3 linked regions of the Macaca fascicularis genome follow. The protein of the gene in region 2 binds, or shares a complex with, the protein of the main gene of each other region. Links are inferred from orthologs where the notes say so. Each region holds a gene or a part of one and is shown on either strand. Other genes may lie near its edges.

What was found. Proteins that work in one complex are often made in the same cells at the same time.
Region 1: NUP98 (region 2) and CETN3 share a complex: the UniProt entries of both Homo sapiens proteins name them as parts of the nuclear pore complex. The link is inferred for Macaca fascicularis from reciprocal best matches to the Homo sapiens genes NUP98 and CETN3.
Region 3: NUP98 (region 2) and NUP160 share a complex: the UniProt entries of both Homo sapiens proteins name them as parts of the nuclear pore complex. The link is inferred for Macaca fascicularis from reciprocal best matches to the Homo sapiens genes NUP98 and NUP160.

Annotation. Positions count from the first base shown.
Region 1 is NC_088380.1:94,403,671-94,411,716, forward strand, and holds the start of CETN3 (centrin-3), read right to left. Parts: upstream 4,744-8,046; 5' UTR 4,618-4,743; coding exon 4,601-4,617; intron 2,778-4,600; coding exon 2,642-2,777; intron 735-2,641; coding exon 620-734; intron 1-619. UniProt on the Homo sapiens protein: Plays a fundamental role in microtubule-organizing center structure and function. As a component of the TREX-2 complex, involved in the export of mRNAs to the cytoplasm through the nuclear pores.
Region 2 is NC_088388.1:70,594,850-70,601,872, reverse strand, and holds the end of NUP98 (nuclear pore complex protein Nup98-Nup96), read right to left. Parts: intron 4,744-7,023; coding exon 4,632-4,743; intron 4,505-4,631; coding exon 4,287-4,504; 3' UTR 3,141-4,286; downstream 1-3,140. UniProt on the Homo sapiens protein: Plays a role in the nuclear pore complex (NPC) assembly and/or maintenance. NUP98 and NUP96 are involved in the bidirectional transport across the NPC. May anchor NUP153 and TPR to the NPC.
Region 3 is NC_088388.1:17,981,507-17,989,605, reverse strand, and holds the start of NUP160 (nuclear pore complex protein Nup160), read right to left. Parts: upstream 4,744-8,099; 5' UTR 4,615-4,743; coding exon 4,413-4,614; intron 4,154-4,412; coding exon 4,042-4,153; intron 1-4,041. UniProt on the Homo sapiens protein: Functions as a component of the nuclear pore complex (NPC). Involved in poly(A)+ RNA transport.

The DNA.
Region 1 (8,046 bases), on a different chromosome or scaffold from region 2:
TGGTGGTACCAGGATGTTTTCTCCTGCTTGCAGTATGCCCACTGCCTCCTTTACTACTACCCTCTAAACAGATGACTTTATCCACTAAGATCAAGGTCATCCAGAGGATGTAGCCTCTCATAAACTTTGTCAACCTGAAGTCACGCATTTCATCTAGGGCCAAAGATACCAACTACTACCAGTTCCCTCTTCTCCCACTTAGCCAGCAAAAATCACATACCAGAAAGGTCTTGGGAAACATTTTCCAAACAGCAGGATATCAAATTTTCTGTTTTACTGAGCAAAAATAATTTTTTGATCACCCTTCAAGTTTTATCACATAATATAAATACAAATAACTTGGAAAAGCATCTTTCCATAAAAAGCTACACAGTAGTTCCTTGGCTAGAATCTTCACAACAAAACAAAAGACAAAACTATAAATCTCAGAGCAAAGCCATATTTTTTCTTTGAAAATGAAAAAAGTAAAATAACCCAAACAAAACTGAGTAAGAGTCACATTATACACCAGTGTTCTATAAGAAAATTCCATAACCTAGAGAATTTAAAATTTAAAAAGTCATATTAATCAGACAATTTCCTAACAGCTGCTGATTACAAAGACTATTAAAATACACACCAACTTCATTAAAATCTTCAAAGGTGATTTTCCCTGTGGCTTCTCTGTCATAATCTTTAAGAATCTTCAGTACATCAGCTTTTTTTACATCAAACCCCAAGGCTCTCATTGCCACCTTTTGGATTAAAAGGGAAAAGCAAATTATAAAGCAATCTTTACAAAAGAATTTCTAATTATTAAGTTTTTACATCTTAAGAGATAAAAACACATTAGTAAAATATAACTTTTTTGCATGTTTTACCTCTTTAAAATAGTAGTGACAGTGTAATTGTTCTTCACTACTGAAATTATGTATAAGTTTTTTCATTTATAAATTGCATTTTTATATGACAAAGTAACCAACAAGTGTTTACTATATAAAATGCACTAACTTACTGCACAGATAATTTGACTGCTATTTGTTATCACGGGAATAACAACCAAAATGAGAAAAAGGCATAGCATAAATATTAAAGTTATATGATAGAAGAGATAAAACATTAAAATAAGAATTATCATCAGCATCTCCATGATTAGTTATTAGGTTAATAATAGGGCGAAGGACCCTGAGTTTAGACAAAAAAGAGACTTTGTTACTAGTAACAAGGAAGGAAACATGTTACTGACTAGGTAAGTCTTATTTGGAAAGATTCAAGTTGTTCCTTGAAGGACAGATGAAGAGGAGCAGTAGGGCATTTGGGAAGGATGACTAGTATTAAAAGAAACACTGAAATGAACAATAGGTTTGAAGGACAACGAACAGAGCAGTTTACCTCACCTGAATTAGAAGAGTTCAGGTGAGATAAACTGCTCACCTGGATTAGAAGGTGAATTCCACGTGAATTAGAAGAGTTTGGGAGGAAGAAAGCAGTTAGCAAATGAAAAAAGTAGTTGGTGGCAAAAGTGTAGAGAACATTCAGTAGAAAGCAAAGGAATCTGAACTTTAAGTAGTATATAATGAGGAGTTATTAATAGTAAAGGCTTATGAGCAACGAACAATTTATAAGCAATGGTGAAAGATTTTTTAAACTATCTAAATTCAGTGGTAGTAGTATACAAGGTGAACTACAAGTAGACAAACCATTTAGGAAGCTCCAGGTATGAAATAAGGTCTGAAACCAGTCAATGGTTACTAATGGAAGAGACACTATAAAGGAAGAATTGATCAAATCTGGGTAACCAAAACCAAAAAACAAAAACAAAAAACAGTGGGAAAAGAGAGCTAAAGAGGACTGCAAGATTGAGAAAGCTAGACTTACAGGCCTATTAATTGTTTTTATACATTCTATACTGTCACTGCATAGTTCGTATCCCTACTTGGAATTCTAATGCTTAAAAATCCCTTAAGAAATTACAAAAATTAAAACTATCAAATAAACACTTACATTCACCTATCCATTAAGGCTATTAAAAATCTCAAAATACTATCTTTCCCACTGTGCTGAAAGTAAGTCCCACTCAACCCTAAACCCAAATCTCTCCTTATACCCTGACAAATAATAATTTACAAATCCCTCTCTACACCTTGACATTCTAGGTCTTAAAGTTGACATTTTTACCTACTAGCATGTGTCAACATCAAACAGCACTGAAGTTGTCTGTACCACAGAAAGTGGATTGAGACTATGTTACTAACAAATACAAATTATAAGATTAAAAGACAACAATCCCACAATCTGAAAACAGTATGAGTCACCAAGAAACAAAAACAAAAACAAAAAAAACAGTGAAAAGAATATGGTAATAGTTTAAATTCCAGTTTGAAATCCTTTAATTATGTCAGTGAAAAATAAGCACCTTCCCTAGGAATGTATTGTTACATTTAAAATGCTATTCGTTTTATCACGTGAAAAAGATTTTCTAAAAACTGTGTTAGGAGTTCTATTCAGTATTATTATAGAATCTAACTATGAATGCTTAAAATGCCTTCATAGTTCCAAAACCAATTTAGTTAAAATAATTACTTAGAAATGTAATGTAAAGCAACTGTCAAAATGCAAATCATTTTAACACAGAAACAAGTATTTTAAAGTATACCATTACCTTTAATTCATGATAATCTATTGCTTCATCTTTGTCTGTATCAAATAGTTCAAAAGCATCTTTAATTTCTTGTTTCTGTTCCTCAGACAGTTCTCTTCTTTTTTTCCTCTTTGTTTTGTCTACTACAAGCTCACTTCTATGAAATGGAAAGAAAAAGCCCTTAGTCCACTTTAATTCTCTTTACTAACAGAAATTAGCCAATAATTATTTTCTAAATTTCAAAAAAGAAAGTACTTTGGAGAAAGACAGGGAAACTTTCCCTTTATGAGTCAATGCCCTGTTTATTCCATAGTCTAAATTGCTATAAATATGAACTTCCCAAAACTAAAGAGTGTTACAGATTATTAAAAGAAATGAGGACCAAACTTTTCCTTTTCCCAGCTTTTTATTTATTCCCACTTTCCCTAACTTTTTATTTATTCAAGAACTGTGAATAAGCAACATTACGTTTATGTCTGAAACTCCAACCAACTCCAACCAAAAAAAAAACAAAAACACTCACATTATTCTACAAGAATGTTAAAGAAACCAAAAAATCTCCAAATGAAACCAAAATTCGTAACTGACAATCACCATATATCGGTTTACTTTTGATAGTTCTGATAATTAAGTTCATAAAATTACTACAAAAAATACAACTGGATTAACTTATATTTTGGGACTGTTGGTTCAAAATGTTTTTAGATTACACGTTTCTAACAGTTTGGCAATTTATGTGTCATTTCCTCCACTGATATTAACAAATCACCCAAAATATTAATGAGTCTAAACATATGACAAATATTAGATGTCAAAAAAGTATACAATATTTGTGCTTCATAAGTCTTATCTCACTTAAGATGTAAACTGGAGGTTAAACTTCTCATAAACTCTGGAAACGCTTAAAGAAAAAAGCAAAAATTACTTTAAAGCCAGAAATGTTTTCCGTAAGAGCTGCCCATCTAAATGTGCTCCAAGTTTTCCAATGGAGCCGCAACACTGGTATAAGAACAAGTTTTGAAACACACAATCTGGTAACACATTAACATGTCAAAACCAGTTGACTGTATTTAAAACACGTATCTAGCTGCATTTGAAAGTCGTTTTGGTCTCTGAACGCTACAAAAAAAAAAAAAAAAAGGCTAGGAAGTGACCAGTAGATGCAGTATGACAAAGCTGAGGAAGATCTTCCTTTCATGAGACCTGACTTGACACAAACTTGGGTATTCCTGGGGTCAGTCTTTTCCTTCCTGAGACTTTTAGAGGCCAAGTCCAGAACCGACCCACCCCTGACCCCATCCAAGGGTACCATGATTATCCCTTAGCAGAACATGGAACATTTTTAGAGTGTCCTAAGTATATGTATAGTTTTACGGTACAACGTCTACGTAGGGGGAGCGGGTAACAGACAGAGGGTTAGAGGTTAGAACTGAAAGGTAAAGAAATGAAAGAAACAGGAAATCCAAGAGACAGTTTGCCAATTAGTCACTAAAATGGGTTTCTAATTACACCGTAAAGCAGGACCTTGGGAGAATAGCAAAGAGTTTTTTGTTATTTCCAAAATTTATAGGTGGATGATTGCATCAGCAGCAGAGCAGCGGAGGTGGGGCCCTGGCCAGGCATACGAATTGAATGAAGGGATGTTCCGCGGCCTGATCTCTCAGAGCAACAGAGTAGAAGCCTCGCGATATTTCATTCCCTCCCCCTCGCTCGCAACTAAGCCCATTTTTTTGGTAGTCCAAAGCCCTACGCGCTGACAGAAATAACCTCCTTAGTAGAAATGCACTGGAAGTCTCGTTCCCTGCAGGGCACCAGAGCCCAGAGGGTGAGTGATCCAGACAGGCTGCCCTAGGCTCCTTTCCCGCATCCCAAACAGCATCCCCTGCCTCGCCACGGCCCCAAACGGCCTCCCTTCCACACACACCCTCCCTAGGTCCCGCTCCGGGGTGTGGAGAGCACTGCCGCCTCCTTATTACCGACCTCAGAGCTAAACTCATTATCTCTTCGGATAGAGTCGTTCCTCTCAAGAAACGATTTTAACCCCCTACCCAAAGCAGCAAGACTCCCACAACCGTTCAACAGACACGAACGACCTCAGCGGCCTCAGGGACCTCCCACAACATAGACACTTTTGAGCTGGATTGGTTGAAATGTCGCTATGGTTCTGCCCATTATGGCGGAAGCTTTACCAATTTTATTTTCATTGGGTACGCTTTACGTCAATCAAGAAAAAAAAAAAACCTCTCTCTCCCCGCCCCCCCCCCCCCCCGCCACCCACCCCGCCCCTCCATTCCTAGGGCCGCTCTCGCCCTTCGGATTGGCCTGATGCCTTTTTCCCCGAATCCTTTGCGGGTCCGGCCTCCGATCCCTGTGTGGTGGTTTGCGTGGTGGGTGCTCCTAGTCTCTCGCGTATTGTCCTGCGGTCTGTGGGCCGACGTTCGAAAACTAGATGGATAACTTGGACGGTGGGAAGGGAAGGGACACGCTGCAGGCCACCCTCCGGCTAGAAGGAGGCAGTAGTTGAGGAACAAGGTCTGCGAAGCGTGGCTGTGCTCTGTTCTAAAACTTTGGATGGCTTCAGTACCTGGGGAATGTGTTTAAAATGCAGACTTAAATGCCCCTTTCTCCATTCTAATTTCAGTAGGTATGAATCTGCGTTTGTATTCCTCACAAGCCTTCCAAGTGATTCTGAGGCAGGTGCTGTGACTATACTTGGATTATCACAGGGTTAGATTATCAGGCTATTTATGGTGATGCTGTATCTAAACCGCCCTTCCCTCTCCTTTTCCTCCTTTGAACTGTTTGAAACGGATTTGTTGGCTTCTGTCTCTTATTTTACGGTGCTGTAAATTGTTAATACACGTGAGACTGTATTCACTACCAAACCAAGTCTCCTAAAGCTCACTTGAATGTCTACTTATTCGTCTCCCTTACCAGGTTCAATTTCTTGAAGGCCGTGATTATATCTATTTAACGCTTTTCCTTGTACCTAATAAAATGTCTGGTGCATAGGTGCTCGGTAAATTGAGTGGAATCTTTTGAAAACCCACAAAATACTGAGCTAAACAGCAAATCTCATAAACGGGAATAAAATAGCCTGAGAATGGGAGTTGAAGGCGGAGAATATGTAAACATATGTTTAAGGGATGTATATAAAATTTTAGAGAAGGGAGAGAGCACAAGATAGGCTTCCTAAAGAGGTGGCATAAACGTTAGACCTACAAGGATGGGCTAAATTTGCACAAGTAAAGATAGTATGATAGAACAAGCTAAAAATTAGCTAAGGGATAGCACCCCTAAAAAACAAAAGCGGAACTTTTATTTTGTTCGTATTTTAAATTTTAAAGTACCTTTATAAATCACCTTTGAGTCTAAAAGGAAAGAGAAATTGTAATTACTAGAACATAGTGATATTGAAAAAAACTATATGTTAACATTTTAAGACACAGACCAAACTATAGGAGAACATTATTTTAAATAAGAAATAATAAAAATAGACCAGGCATTTATTTGAAGATGTTAGAAATGAAGAACAAAATTGTATAATTGAAATTAGGAAGAGGAAATTAGTAAAGTTTGAGAACAACGTTTTAAAAGGAAACTGGTCAAATTGATAAAGTGCTCATAGTCTGGTATAAAGCTGCTTTTTGGCAATACCAGTGAAATTCAAAGACAGGAAATGTAACAAGAAAAGGAATAGTGCCACTAGTAAGGTTAGTAATTTAACAAAAGGGAGGTTTAAAAATTATTAAAATATTTTATACAATTTTATACTGCCAATAAATATTAATAGAAAATGAAATAGTCACTTTTCAAGGAAAACATAACTCAAAAAAGATGGAAAACTGAATTAAGTCAATAACTACAGACAGGACTGAAAAAAAGATGCCAAATTTCTGTACCCTCAAATAAAAAGCCTCCAGCCCACTCAGATTTATGGGTAAAAATCCTAAGAGCTAAATCTTGTGCTTTAAACTCAAGTAATAGAAAATGATGGAGAGCTTCTTAGCTTAATTTTTGAAGCTGCCATAATATTTAACATCCTAAAAGAACATTTAAAGTCACTCAGTGTAAGCTTAGTGATGATGAAGGCTATACATGTTGCTCACCATTGTATCCCCAGTGCCTGACTCATATTTGATGTTCATTTGTGAATTTAAGTGCAAAATTCCTAGATGTTAGCAAAATCAGTTTGATACTGTCTTAAAGGGGCATTTCTCTATAACCAAATTGAGTTTTTTGTTGTTTTTGTTAAGTGCAAAGATAATTCAAAATATAAATCTGTGTTAAATATAGTGTTAAGGAAATCATCTCAGTGTCAAAAGGGCACTGAATAATAGGCAACACTTTTTCTACTAGGATATAAAGTGGGTTTAGAAAATACTTTTTAAAATATGATCGGCAAAATACTTAAACACCAGTGTTTCTCAAACCTCATTCCTGAAACACTAGAATTTTGTGAGATGCTTTTGGTCTCAGAGTGAGTTTTATAAGCAAATAATTTGGGCAAACAGATTTTAACATGTTTTCAATAGGGTATCCTTTTAAGAGTGACAGGGAATTTACACGGATCACTTTTATTATATTTAGTGAGAACTAGTGACAACCACTTCTTGCTTCACAGGAGTCAGACAAATCTCTAGATGGAAAACTGCTGTGCTGAAATTTGGGGTCGGATCATCTATTTCTAAAGATAAGACAGGTGATTACACGCATTTAAATCTAAATTCGATGCAATCAAAATTCTCATTTTTCTTGAACAAAATTATTCCAAAGATCCAACAACAGTTGCATAAAAATAGCTTACTAAACTGTGAAAAAGAATAATAATACAAAAATTCCTCTATGGGACAGTAAAATGTATTTGGTACAATGGTAATCAGACCAGAAATTCCAGAGACAGCAAATGTAAATAAAAATTTCTGCTTTGAGAAGGTAGAGACATGAGTGTTTAGTCTGCCTCCTAAAGCCGTAATAAAGCAAGAGTTCCTCTATCACCCACGCTGGTGTACAGTGGCATAGCTCACTGTAACCTCGAACTGGGCTTAAAGGATCCTCCCTCCTCAGTCTCCTGAAAAGTTAGGACTACAGAAGCATGCCATCATGCTCAGCTAATTTTTTTTTAATTTTACACTATGTTGCTATGTTGCCCAGGTTGGTCTAGAACTCCTGGTCTCAAGTGATCCTCCAGCCTCAGGCTCCCAGAGTGTTGAGATTACAGGAATTAGTTCCCATGCCTAGCCAATAAATTTGTTAAGCTGAAGTGACCTGGAGAGGGGCCATCAGCAGACTAGGTATTTCAAAAATTATTGGAAAGATCAAAAGAAATGTGGAAACTTGTTGACAAATGAAACAGATCACGGAAGTGGCATCCCATAATTTTTCCGGAGGTGACTGATGTTTCACAGAGAGTTGATCTGCCTGGC
Region 2 (7,023 bases):
CGAGACCCAGATTGCAAAGGCACTGTAACAGAATGAAAAGACAAGCTAGAGATTGGGAGAAAATATTTCAAAATCATATTCAACAAAGGACTCAAATACAGAATCTATAAAGAATCCTCACAAAACTCAACTGTAATAAACCATTTGTTTAAACCCATTTGTGCCAGAGGTTGCAAATTTTTTTTGTGTGAAAAATCAGACCTTGGCAATGATCTTGAGTAATAGGATATAGGTAACTCCCACTAGCTTAATAATGAAATGAAACACTAGGCATAGAGAGGTTAAAAAAAGACAAGGTCTGGCTCTGTCGCTCAGGTTGGAGTGCAGTGATGCAATCACAGTTCACTGCAACCTCTGCCTCCAGAGCTCAAGCCATCCTCCCACCTCAGCCTCCTGAGTAGCTGGAACTAAAGGTGCACACCACCCAGGTAATTTTTGTTCATTTTTTTAAGAGACGAGGTCTCCCTATGTTGCCAGGCTGGTCTTAAACTCCTGGGCTCAAGGGATTCTCTCTCCTCACCCTCCCAAGGTGCTGGGATTACAGGCGTGAGTCATCGTGCCCAGCCAATACAAGGTTTAAACAAATCCTTAGGAAAGTCTAAGAAATGAACATTTAAGGCCGGGCGCGGTGGCTCAAGCCTGTAATCCCAGCACTTTGGGAGGCCGAGGCGGGCGGATCACGAGGTCAGGAGATCGAGACCATCCTGGCTGACACGGTGAAACCCCGTCTCTACTAAAAAATACAAAAAAAAAAAAAAAAAAAAAAAAAAAACTAGCCGGGCGAGGTGGCGGGCGCCTGTAGTCCCAGCTACTGGGGAGGCTGAGGCAGGAGAATTGCGTGAACCCGGGAGGCGGAGCCTGCAGTGAGCTGAGATCCGGCCACTGCACTCCAGCCTGGGCGGCAGAGCGAGACTCCGTCTCAAAAAAAAAAAAAAAAAAAAAAGAAATGAACATTTAAAGCAGAAATTAATAGATTACCATACACAACTCCAGTAAAATTGATTAATAAGTCTAAGGACTGGTTATTTGAATAACAAAAAAATCTGGAACAATTTTCTGGAATTACAAATTAACAAAACTGAGCTAAAGATGAAACATCTAAAAAGAGCAGATACTCTGCAGGCCTTTGCTCAACTATTCCAAAATTTAATTCTCCAGACCTCTGTTAACTTTGATTTTGGAATTATTTCAGGGTTCTGTTGAGAAAATAAGTTAATTTGAATGTTGTAGACTCCACAGATCTATCGAATGTTGAGGTAACTGGTTCCTGTTTTATGTTTTTGAGAACTTTTTTTGAAATTAAAACTTTTTTTTACTATTTCAACGGGATTTGGGGATGTAGAAGATTAAGATTGTTAGGCCAGGCACGGTGGCTCAAGCCTGTAATCCCAGCACTTTGGGAGGCCGAGATGGGCGGATCACGAGGTCAGGAGATCGAGACCATCCTGGCTAACCCGGTGAAACCCCGTCTCTACTAAAAAATACAAAAAACTAGCCGGGCGAGGTGGCGGGCGCCTGTAGTCCCAGTTACTCGGGAGGCTGAGGCAGGAGAATGGCGTGAACCCGGGAGGCGGAGCTTGCAGTGAGCTGAGATCCAGCCACTGCACTCCAGCCTGGGCGACAGAGCGAGACTCCGTCTCAAAAAAAAAAAAAAAAAAAAAAAAAAAAAAAAGATTAAGATTGTTCAGGCCGGGTGCAGTGGCTCACGTCTGTAATCCCAGCACTTTGGGAGGCCGAGGTGGACGGATCACGAGGTCAGGAGATCGAGATCATCCTGGCTAACATAGAGAAACCCCGTCTCTACTAAAAATACAAAAAAAAAAAAAAAAAAAAAAAATTAGCCGGGCGTGGTGGCGGGCACCTGTGGTCCTCGCTACTCGGGAGGCTGAGGCAGGAGAATGGCGTGAACCCGGGAGGTGGAGCTTGCAGTGAGCCAAGATTGCGACACTGCACTCCAGCCTGGAGGACAGATCGAGACTCCGTCTCAAAAAAAAAAAAAAAAAAGGAGATTGTTCATTGTTCATCACCCTTATCTTGAACTGGAAGTTGATATTCTCTTTTATGCAACATGGCTTCTATGATAAACCTTTGATTTAGAACCTTTTTTTCTTGCTCTGTTGCCCAGGCTGGAGTGCAGTGGCACAATCATGGCTCGCTGCAGCCTTCAACTCCTGGGCTCATGCGATCCTCTTGCCATAGCCTCTTGAGTAGCTGGGACTATGCACACACACCACCATGCCCAACTATTTTAGAGAGAGTCTTGTCATGTTACCTGGTGTGGTCTTGAACTCCTGGCCTCAAGCAATCCTCCCACCTTGGTCTCCCAAAGTGGATTACAGGTGTCAGCGAACACTCCTGGCCCACAATTCCTAACACTGCTAAGAGCTAACCATTTCTACAGCATAATCACTTTTTGAAACATTCCTCTGGTAAGGAAACCAGGTCGGAAAGTCCAACTAAGTTCTGTGACCCACTCAGGATCACATATTGAGTCAGTAGTGGAGGGGATTCCAGCTGAGTAACCCTTCTTCTGAGGTGTCTAAGTTAAATGGAAGTTTCAGCCACAGAGCTGACCCACTATGCTTTCTCATCCCTGAATTCCTCAAAGTCTCAGAAGTCTTTGTTCTAATCTTAATGGGTATTTGCTCATATCTTCAGCTTGACAAATCAAAATAAGATCTGGAATAGTACTCATGCTACTCAATTGATTCCTCTTGAAAACAGCCCTGTGTGAAGTAACATCAGGGATCATTATCCCCTTTACAAAAGGGAATCCGACTTAGAAAGGTGAAGCGTCACTCAAGGTTTAAAAACAAAACCACTACAGTAGAAGAGCGAGGAGGCTTTGAATGGTATATTCTATTGGGCAATTTGAGACCTGGAAATCTATATGTATAAATATATGTACAGCAATCAGTATTAATCAATAATCAACTCCCTTGCCCCTAAATCTCCCCTTATAAATCTAGCCTTTGGGCTAATCTATCTCTCAGTTTAGCACCAAATAGTTCTCTCTTTAACCCAAGGCCTGTCTCCATTTAGAAGGCAAATTCAAAAACAGGCTAAATCAAACAAGGCCATCATAAAGATCCTCAGGGCAAGAAGGCTCAAAAATACAAAGGGAAAGCCAATACCAGGAATGCTATAAACATTTTATTTATTTATTTTTTAAGAAAGTAACTTCAGAAAAAGAGGAAAATATCTAGATCATTTATTTATACATATATATATTTTTTAATAAAAACCTTTACATAATCTTCATGCATAAAGACCCAGGTGTGGCCATATTGCCTGAGACAGCCCTAACACCAGCTATCTCATGCCATTACCTGGGGCTCCCTATAGCTGTCAGCAGTGTAGCAAAGGCCCTCTGCCTGCCCCTAACGCCCAACTCCATGCCTGCCTCAGTCATGGTTTGCTTCTGGAAGGGATGATGGAGGGTGGAAAATGCTTTAGAGCTAACATGGGATGAACAGGGAGGGTTACCCAACCTGCCATTTTTAATCCAAACTCTTCAGGCAAATCCAGACAGACTCTCAGCAAGATGACTGAAAACCAGGGACCAAACCAAATTCTGGGAGCTTCCCATAGACATGTCACATATGACCAAGGGCTCCTGCACATAGTAGTAGCAAAGGTATGGTGTTCATGGAACACTAAAGGCAGGAACAAAAGAAGCTCTGAAGATCAATCCCTCCATGGCAGGCATTCACTTCTGCCCTAAGTGTGTCAGAAAGATCCCATTCTGTTTCCTAACTCAGGCCAACCCTCCTCTGCCTCCAAAATTCAGTGTTAACTAACCAATTACTTAAGAGACGGATCCCTCTTCCTTCTGTGGATAGTTCACCTGTTAAGGATCCATTACTACCTGTCTCACTCCTCCTAAGGAGTCCTAGCATAAAAGGGCCAGGGTAGGAGTAGGGTAGCTGGTTGGCATGGAGGGTCACAAGATCCAGAATGGCTAGGGGTGAAAAAGGATTCCCTGGTTCTTTGGGGGATTCTGCCAAAGGAGCTTTATTGACCATTTATTAAAAGGAAAAACACTGGTCTTGAGGATGGTAAAAAGAGAATTGTCTCCTCTTCTGGGTTCCAGAAGCCCTTATGCTATGTTTAGTATTAAGAAAAGCCCTGAACAACTGGAGGATGCTGCTTGTGGCAGCAGGGAAGGAGGGCAGATGCCATAGCCAACCCAGAGAATGGCAAACAGTGCCAATCCAAACAAGGCAGGGAACCTCTGTGTGGTGAGTGTGAACGGGCATGTGAGTGTGATGCAAAGAGTCTGGGGCTCACAGGCTCCCAACAGCGAGTTCTCGCAGATAGGACTGGGTAAGGCTGCGCAGTTCGTCCATGGCATAGTCCTCAGGCATGGGGAGCCGGCCAATGTGGGGAGCCAAGAGGCGCAAAGGGACTCGCTGAGGGTCTGGTGTTGAGTCGGAGGTTCTATCAGGAGCATGATGCAGACTCAGCACCACCCGCAGCAGGTTGGCTACACGTTTGGCCATGTCTAGAGAGAAAAACTAGAGTTAAGCACTGAGCATGGGTCTAGAGAACGGTGGCAGGCACTGAGGGTGGGGTGTAAGATAAAAACAGGAAGCAAGAAGGCAGAAAAAGTGAGGAGATTAGAGGCTTACCTGACTGAGCTAGGCGATCTTTAGCATTGTAACACTGAATCTGCTCTATGCGACTGCACAGTGAAGTCACTTTGATGTGTAACTGCTCCAGGTCATAACCTGAGCAATCCACCTACAAAGAAGCAGAGAAGTCAATTAATCCAAGGGGAGTTCCTATCACTCAACACCACCTATAGACTCTATACAAAACCTTGAAACAACAGTGAGGTGAGGGAGGGGAAAATCCAAGAAGATGACACAGGGTCAAGCCACCACCATCTAGTGGAGGACAAGGCACTAATTATGCAGTAATAAAGAGGAAGGTAACATAGTGTACACAGCCTTGGACTAGGAAAGTCTTGAGATCCCGAACGATACAGCAAGCTTTAATAATACAGCAAGCTTTAATAATACAGCACCAAAAATCAAGATAAACTGGGTTCAGAGAGATGGTATGACTTCTTAAGAGCACACAGGAAGTAAAAAATGCAGCCTGAACCAACATTTAATTTAGGTCCCCTGACTCCAAGTTTATAGCCTTTTCTTTTTTTTTTTTTTTTTTTGAGACGGAGTCTCGCTCTGTCACCCAGGCTGGAGTGCAGTGGCGGGATCTCAGCTCACTGCAAGCTCTGCCTCCCGGGTTCACGCCATTCTCCTGCCTCAGCCTCCCAAGTAGCTGGGACTACAGGCGCCTGCCACCTCGCCCGGCTAAGTTTTTGTATTTTTAGTAGAGACGGGGTTTCACTGTGTTAGCCAGGATGGTCTCGATCTCCTGACCTCGTGATCCGCCCGTCTCGGCCTCCCAAAGTGCTGGGATTACAGGCTTGAGCCACCGCGCCTGGCCTAGCCTTTTCTAAAACACCAAAAAAGCTGGGTGCAGGCAGCAGGAGGATCAAGAGCAAGACAAATTATTTGCTCTCATGAAACTGACAGAAACTAAATAAGAAAACATAAAACAGTAATACATCCTGAAAAATCACAAGCCATGTAGATAATTTAAACAGGTGGATGTTGCAGAGAGAAACTGGATAGCTACTTGAGACTGGAGGTCCAAGAGAGGCTTCTTCAAGGAGGTCATATTTAAGTCGAGACCTGAATTACAAGGAGAGAGCTCAGCTTTCCAGGCAAAGAGAAGACAGCTAAAACTCCCAAAGGTGAGAATTCAAAGGAGATTTACATGGTGACATGTGGGGTAAGGGGGAAAAGCAGAACAAACCAATACTAGAGAGGTTTTATGTAACACAGGCTTTTTTTTTTTTAAAGGGGGGGTCTCGCTATGTTGCTCAGGCTGGTCTCAAGCAACCCTCCTGCCTCAGCCTCCCAAAGTGCTAGGATTACAGTCACGCACCACCACATCCAGCTATGTGCTGGCACATTGATAGTTCTCTTTGCTTAACCCCTATACTTATGAAGCTACAGTAACTGCTGCTTTACTTGTATATATCTCCCCCACGAAATCATTATTTTGGTAAGGGCAGAACACATACTGTTTACTTTTATATTCCCCAAACCCACTACAGTGCTTGGCACACAGTGAGTTCTCCATAATAGTTGTGTGAATTACTCAATATTCAATGAGAAAGTGGTTTCTTCAAGTGATTATTTAGAAATGATGCTCTTGATTCATATGAAAAGTACAGCAAACATTGAATTATGCCTATTATGTGTCAGGCGCTGTACTAGGAGTTGGAACTTTGATGAGGATAATAATAGGTAACAATTATTAAGCATTTAGTAGAGGCTAAGGTCAGGAGTTTGAGACCAGACTGGCCAACATGGTGAAACCCTGTCTCTACTAAAAAAAAAAAAAAAAAAAAGGCTGGGCATGGTGGCACACGCCTGTAGCCTGTAATCCCAGCTACTGGGGAGGCTGAGGCAGAATTGTTTGAAGCTGGGAGATGGACGATGCAGTGAGCTGAGATTGTGCCACTGCCCTCCAGCCTGGGTGACAGAGCAAAACTCTGCCTCAGCCGGGCGCGGTGGCTCAAGCCTGTAATCCCAGCACTTTGGGAGGCCGAGACGGGCGGATCACAAGGTCAGGAGATCGAGACCATCCTGGCTGACACGGTGAAAGCCCGTCTCTACTAAAAAAAAAATACAAAAAACTAGCCGGGCGAGGTGGCAGGCGCCTGTAGTCCCAGCTACTCGGGAGGCTGAGGCAGGAGAATGGCGTGAACCCGGGAGGCGGAGCTTGCAGTGAGCTGAGACCCGGCCACTGCATTCCAGCCTGGGCAGCAAAGTGAGACTCCGTCTCAAAAAAAAAAAACAAAAAAAAAACTCTGCCTCAAAAAAAAAAAAAAAAAAAAAAGCATTTAGTACATGAAAGGTACTACGTTAAACACTTTATGTAGATTTGGTTTAATCTTTGTGAAAATCTGTCAGATATGAGCTGTAATTTGTACTACTGTCTACC
Region 3 (8,099 bases), about 53 Mb from region 2:
ATATCCACGATCAGAACATTTCTCACTGCCTCTGTCACTACCACCCTGATCTAAGCCACCATGTCTGAATTGTGGCACCAGCCTCCTAACTGGTCTCCCCACACCCACCCTTTCCCCCACCACACTCTATTCTCAAGACGGCAGTCAAAGCAATCCTTTAGAAACTCAGATCTTAGATCATGTCATCCTCTACTTAAATCTTCCACAGCTTCTTCTCATCTTACTCAGAGCAAAAGCTGAAGCTTAAAATAACCAACAAAGCCCTGATCTGGCCTTAAGCTATCTCTTTCTTATTATTCTACCCTCCGTTCACTCAGCCGCAGACTCCTGGCTCCTTTCCACTCTTTGAACACAACAAGCTCCTACTTCAGGGTTCTTTGCACTTACTATTCCTTTTTCTTGGAGGGCTCCACCTGAAATACTCATTCCCCAGGTATCCTTTCTTCTGCTCAAATGTCAACTTACCCCTGGCTTTTGCCCAACCACCCTACATAAAACATTAACTGCCACAGGTATTCCATTCCCTCTTACGCTGTTCCCCTTTCCCTATTCCATTTATCAACTGACAAACTGTCAGAGGCAAGTGAACCTGAACAGCTCCATCTTGAATAGGAGTTGGGTAACATGAGACTGAAACCTACTGGGATGCATTCCCAGACAGTTAAGGCATTCTAAGTCACAGGATGAGATTAGGAGGTCGGCACAAAATACAGGTCATAAAGATCTTGCTGATAAAACGGGATGCAATAAAGGAGCAAGCCAAAACCCATCAAAACCAAAATGGTGACAAGGGTGACCTATGGTTGCCCTCACTGCTACACTCCCACCAAGGCCATGACAGTTTACAAATGCCATGGCAACATCAGGAAGTTACCCTGTATGGTTTAAAAAGTAGAGGCATGAATAATCCATCCCTGTTTAGTATATCTTCAAGAAATAACCATAAAAATGGGCAACCAGCAGCCCTTGGGGCTACTGTGTCTATGGAGTAGCCATTCTTTTATTTATTTACTTTTTTTTTGAGATGGAGTTTCGTTCTTGTTGCCCAGGCTGGAGTGCAATGGAGCAATCTCAGCTCACTGCACCCTCCACCTCCTTGGTTCAAGCTATTCTCCTGCCTCAGCCTCCCAATTAGCTGGGATTACAGGCATGTGCCACCACGCCCAGCTAATTTTGTATTTTTAGTAGAGACAGGGTTTCACCATGTTGGTCAGGCTGGTCTCAAACTCCTGACCTCTCAAACTCCTGACCTCAGGTGATCCACCTGCCTCGGCCTCCTAAAGTACTGGGATTACAGGCGTGAGCCACCACACCTGCCTCCTTTACTTTCTTTCTTTTTTTTTTTTTTTTTTTTTTTTTGAGACGGAGTCTCGCTCTGTCGCCCAGACTGGAGTGCAGTGGCCGGATCTTAGCTCACTGCAAGCTCCGCCTCCCGGGTTTACGCTATTCTCCTGCCTCAGCCTCCCGAGTAGCTGGCACTACAGGCGCCAGCCACCTCGCCCGGCTAGTTTTTTGTATTTTTTAGTAGAGACGGGGTTTCACCGTGTTAGCCAGGATGGTCTCGATCTCCTGACCTCGTGATCCGCCCGTCTCGGCCTCCCAAAGTGCTGGGATTACAGGCTTGAGCCACCGCGCCCGGCCCTCCTTTACTTTCTTAATAAACTTGCTTTCACTTTGCACTGCGGACTTGCCCTGTATTCTTTCTTGTGTGAGATCTGAGAACCCTCCCTTGGGGCCTGGATCGGCACCCTTTTCCTGTAACAAAACTACATGTACTTGGGTTTTTTGTTTTTTTAGTTATTGTTGTTGTTGCCTATTTTCCTCCATGAGAGTAGGAACTTTGTTTTGTTCCCTGCTATATCCCTATTCCCTAAAAATGGACTGAAATATATTAGGGAAGCAAATTTCCTTTATTTCTTCCTGTTTTTATAAAAGAGATGGGGTCTTACCCTGTTTCCCAAGCTGGAGTGCAGTGGCATGATCAGATCCTCCCGCCTCAGCCTCCTGAGTGGTTAAGATGAAAGGCACATGCCACCCCGCCTGGCTAATTTTTAAAAATCAGGCCGGCCATGGTGGCTCCGCCTGTAATCCCAGCAAGTTGGGAGGCCGAGAATGGGGCACTGCTTGAGTTCGGCAGTCCAAGACCAGCCTGGGCAACCAGGCAAAACCCCATCTCTACAAAAACAAATAGAAAAATCAGCTGGGCATGGTGGCGCATACCTGTAATTGCAGCTACTTGGGAGGCTGAGGTGGGAGGGTCACTTGAACCCAGGAGGCGGAGACTGCAGTGAGCCATGATTGCACCACTGCACTCCAGCCTGGACAATGGAGCCACCAGACTGTCTCTCAAAAAGAAAAGAAAAAAAAACAGAAAGAAAAAAGAAAAAAAATTGTAGAAATGGGGTCTTGAACTCCTGGCCTCAAGAGATCCTCCCACCTCAGCCCCCCAAAGTGCTGGGATTACAGGTGTGAGCCACTGTGCCCAGCCAAAATATTTAACTAAATGAAATTTGTATCTCTAACATAAAGTCTCTCTTTTGAGCCTTAGACCTGTAAATTTCAATGCCTACTTGACATTTCCAAAGGGCTGCTCCCCAGGTACTTCAAATTTACTATGTCCAACAGAATTATTCATATCTTTCCAAAATCCATCTTCTATGGATCTCTGTAAATGGCAACCCCTCCCCACTCACATCTGGTTAGTCACATGAGACACCAGGGAGCTGTCCTTGTTCTCTCCTTTTCTTTTACCATCCCTTACCCCATATTCAATCCACCACCAAGTCCTAGTGAATCTATCTTCCAAAGGTATCTTGAATCCATCTACTTTTCTATTTCTATTCATTCCCACAATTGAACCACCAGCAACCCTTACTTGGGCCATCATAAAAGCAAACTTTTTTTTGCATTATACCCATCTAATCCAAATCCACTTTCCACAAAGTAGACTGAGATCTTCTAAAAATACATTTTAAAAAATTTAGATTCAGGGGTACATGTGCAGCTTTGTTACATGAGTATATTGTGTATATATTCCTATCTACATGAGGTTTGGGCTTCTAATGATCCTGCCGCCCAAGTTGTGAACACAGTAACTGATAGGTTTTCCAACCTCTGCTCCCCCGCTCCTTTTGGAATCCCCAGTGTTAACTGTTCCCATCCAAAAATGCAATTTTGATGTTAGTAACTCTTTAAAAACCTATTCCATTATTACTCAATGTACTTAGGATAAAATCCAAAAATCCTTAAAAATGGCCTAAGGGTCCCTCATGGTCCGAGTCCTGCCTACCTCTCCAGCCTCAGTATCTCACATTACTTTCTGTTTTACCCACTGCACTTAAGCCACACAGATCTTTGGTCAGTTCCAAACCTGCCACATTCTTTCCACTTTGTGACCTTTGCATATGGTGATCCTGCTTGCTGGACTCCTCTCTGTCCACTCCCCATACCTGGCTAACCTCGTGTCCTTTAGACCTCAGGGTAACTGTGAAAGCCTTTTCCTGCCCCACTAATAACATTTGGTCCTCTCATTAGCCTCTCGTAACCCCTGTATTTTTCCTCTAGGGCAAGTTTTCCTCCACAAAATTTCCCCATGAAAAGTGAGTCCACAACTATTCTGACATTGCTACAACGTCTTGCATGATGAAGATGGCAGTTTTGTTCATTTCGTCCTGGTACCTAGCACAATGCCTGACATATTGAAGCTCGAACATATTTGTTCAATGAAGGAAGCTGTAAAGCACTATAAAAACATAATGGGTTCATGTTTAAAACTAGTCTTATGGGCTTTATACCCCTAAGCTACATTCCCTCTGCTTTTGGTGTTGCTTGGTGTGTGTGTGTGTATTGGTGGGGGGGGAGGGTAAACTCTTCTAGAACTGTGTCTCAGTTTTCCCGACTCTGATACGAACTGAAAAAAAAAAACTTTCTCTTTCCCTAAGTGTCGATTACCGCTTCTAGAATAGCACTTTGGGAACAGCAACTAAAATTTACACACCAAACCCTACCTTCCAGGGGAGTTTGGCGAACCACAGCACTTACCAATGAATGAACCTGTTTCTGGTTACGGAGAACAACTTGCCACTCTCCACATAGTAAAAGCCTCCCGCGCTCTCACTGTATTTTACGGCGCCAGCCACGGCATTTGCGGTCCCTGCAAAATGAACGTGGTCAGCCTGCACACGCGTCTTCTGAGAAATGACAGGGACTAAGGGACCTGATAAAGCAGAGGGTGACAGACTGACAACCCATACAAAGAAAAGAGGAAAACGTCGGACATCAAGGAATCTCTGATCCCGGGGCTGGAGGCATGTGGACTCAGGAGGATGAACCCAGCAGTCAGAGACCCTAGGACCCATGAGAGGAGCCCGAGGGGACAGATCGGATCGCGCCCTCCCTGGCCACTTCCGTACCAATGCTGCAGACTGTGAATTCCCGAAAGTGCCTCGGCCTTTCGCGCTCAGCCCCGCTTAGCTCCACGAAGCTTCGTTCCAGGGATCCCGCCGCCGCCATCTTCCCGCCGTCGCCGCGATGCCCGACGGGACAAAGGCAGGGCCGCGCGGCCGCCGTCACTTCCGGGGGCGGGGCGGGCGGAGCTGCGGACGGGTGAAGCATCCCGGGAGCAGAAAGGGGGCTCCGGTCCTTCGTTGCGGGGCTTCCACCGGGAGAATGAGGATGGGCAGCGGGGAATCCAGAAGAGAAGCGGGCAGGGGAGGCCGACTGTATCTGCTGGAATCTTCGAGTGGCCGGCTGGAACGCCTCCGGAGGGCGGTGCCCTTTTCTCAGCGGCCGCAGGGCAGGGGGCGGGACCGGGTTTGTTTCTGTTTCCAAAACGCGGGGCTCAGTCTCCCAGGAGGGGCGAGGTCCGGGGAGGTCCGGCCTTTGGGCGTCCTCTGCCGGATCCCGGGTGTTTGGTCACCTCTCCCTCGGTTAGGGTGTCCGTCTGTAAATCTTTGCCGATCCTCCCTTCGCTCTTCAGTGGCACTTGGGTTGGCGGGGTGAGGAAGGGGTAGTGAGGGAAGGGCCTTTGGTTTTGGTCTTTTTTCCCCCCAAGAGACTGTATTCGTGTATTCCTGTATAATGAAACGTAATGTGGTAAACCTTGATGCTGCCACCTGCTGAGGTTACCTGAGTGCTACTCACTTGGATACGTGAAAAGAATTTGCCATTCATTCCAACCGTGATCTTGCACTTGGCTGTCAATGCAATAAGGGCCCATAGTGGATGTTTAGAAGATATTGTGGGGGTAGATGTTCAAAATCGGGGAAAATGCTAATCTCCAGCAGGGAAGGTTTTGTTCCTTAGTGATAGCCAACGCTTGTTGGTCACTTCTATTACCAGTGACCACAGCCATTCCCTGTCATTCTCCGTTTCATTTATCTGGTTCCGACCATCATTTCCTATCTTTCCACTTCACTCCCTCTGGGACACCAACTTTGGCAGTGCAGCCCCCTCATTCTACCTGAAATCCATTGTTATACAAGCTCTTCACTGTCCCTCACTTCTTTGGTGTTTCTTCCTTATCCTGAATACCATTAAATTACTTCATTGCCTAACTCTTCATCAGTAAAAACAACTTCGATTACATTCAAATCTGTAGCTGAACGTGCCTGAAGAAAACTATACACCAAGGTCGGGTGTGGTGGCTCACGCCTGTAATCCCAGCACTTTGGGAGTCCAAGACTTGAGGATCACTTGAGGTCAGGAGTTCAAGACCAGCCTGGCCAACATGGTGAAACCCGGCCTCTACGAAAAACAGAAAAATTAGCCGGGCGCAGTGGCTCACGCCTGTAATCCTAGCACTCTGGGAGGCCGAGGTGGGCAGATCACGAGGTAAGGAGTTCCAGACCCGCCTGGCCAACATGGTGAAACAGTGAGATACAAAAAATTAGCCGGGCATGGTAATGCACGCCTGTAATCCCAGCTACTCGGGAGGCTGAGGCAGGAGAATCACTTGAACCCGGGAGGCAGAGGTTGCAGTGAGCCTAGATCGCGCCACTGCACTCCAGCCTGGGTGACAGAGCAAGACTCAGTCTCCAAAAAAAAAAAAAAAAAGAAAAAGAAAAATTAGCGGGGGCATGATGGTGCGTGCATGTAATCCCAGCTGCTTGGGAAGCTGAGGCAGGAGAACCGCTTGAACCTGGGAGGTGGAGGTTGCAGTGAGCCGAGATCGCGCGGTTACACTCCAGCCTGGGCAACAACAGCTAAACTCCATCTCAAAAAAAAAGAAAGAAGACAGAAAACTATACACCCATACTGACATGCTTCCCTCTAACTCCATCAGGACCATGTACCTTGAGTGGACCCATCTTGCTGCCTGGCAAACACATGGTATTTGCTTTCTCCATTTACTGTTCTAAATGAGTGTTTCGTAACTCCCGAAACCTCCACTGCCTCCGTCATCATCCTGACTCTCCACTTGCTGCTTCATTTAGAAAATTAAAGCAATCAGAGGCTGAGATGGAAGGATGGCTTGAGGCCAGGAGTTCAAAACAAGCCTGGGCAACACACCCCCATCTCCAATAATTTTTTTTTTTTTTTAATTAGCCAGGCATAGTGGTGTCCCTCTGTAGTCCCAGCTATAGGAAGATTTCTTGAACCCAGGAGTTGGAGGATACAGTGAGCTACAATCCTGCCACTGCGCTCCAGCATGGCCAGAAAGAGACCCATCTGAAAAGAAGGAAGGAGGAAGGGAGGACTTCCTCTACAATGACATCTCCCCACCTACCACCATCTGTAGCCACATATTTTGCCTTCCCTTCCTGTTACTATAAATTAAACTGTCTCTGAGCTTATGCTGAGACAACCTTTCTACTTCCGTAGAACAGCTGCTCAAGGACATCATTCCAGCGATTAAATTATTTCCATTTTCAATTTTTCTCCCTTTTTACTTAGTACTGTATGTACTAAGCATACAAACATTCGCTCGACCTCCACTCTCTGCAGCTACTACTCCGTATCTCTTCTCCTCTCACCCACAGCAAAACTCGAGTGTTCTAATTCCTTCTTGCTCATTCTCTTATTTTTATTTATATATTTATTTATTTATTGAGATGGAGTTTTGCTCTTGTCGCCCAGGCTGGAGTGCAATGGCAAGATCTCGGCTCACTGCAACCTCTGCCTCCTGGGTTCAAGCAATTCTCCTGCCTCAGCCTCCCAAGTAGCTGGGATTACAGGCATTTGCTACCCAGCCTGGGTAATTTTTTTGTATTTTTAGTAGAGACAGGGTTTCACCGTGTTGGTCAGGCTGGTCTCGAACTCCTTACCTCAAGTGATCCACCTGCCTCGGCCTCCCAAAGTGCTGGGATTACAGGCGTGAGCCACTGTGTCTGGCCTCATTCTCTCTTAAATCCATGTTTTTCAGGCTTTTGCTCCTACTGCCTTGCTGAAACTGCTTTTTTCCAGGTTATCAATGACATCCACATTACCTATATAATACTAAACTTCTTTTTCCTTTTTTTTTGACACAGAATCTTGCTCTGTTATCCAGGTTGGGGTGCAGTGGTGCGATCCCAGCTCATTGCAGCCTCAAACTCCTGGGCTCAGGTGATCCTCTTGCCTCAGCCTTTCGAGTAGCTGGGCCCACAGGCTTGTGCCACCATGCCCTGCCACATTTTTTATTCTTTATTTTTTGTGGAGACGGTCTTCCTGTGTTGCTCGGGCTGGTCTCAAACTCTAGGCGTCAAGCGATCCTCCTGCCTCTGCCTCCCAAAGTGCTGGGATTACAGGTGTGAGCCACAGCACCTGGACTGAACTGTTATTTCTAAGCTTATTTGACTACTTGTAGAATTTGACCAATTGCTTGCTCCTTCCATGTGGAAACACATTCTTCATGTGGCATCAAGGACACCACTCTCTTGATTCTACCTATTTCACTAACTGTTCCTTTTTGGACTCCTTTCCTAGATGCTCCTCTTTTCCCCAACCTCTTGATGTTGGAGTGTGCAGACTTCAATTCTTGGTCCTTTCCATCTACAGACACTCCCCTGAGAATCTCATCCAGTCTTCTGGCTTTAAATACCACATTGCTATATGCTGATCATCTCCAGTCTAAGCTTCTCCCCTGAAGTGCAGGTTTATATATTCAACTGCCTATTCTG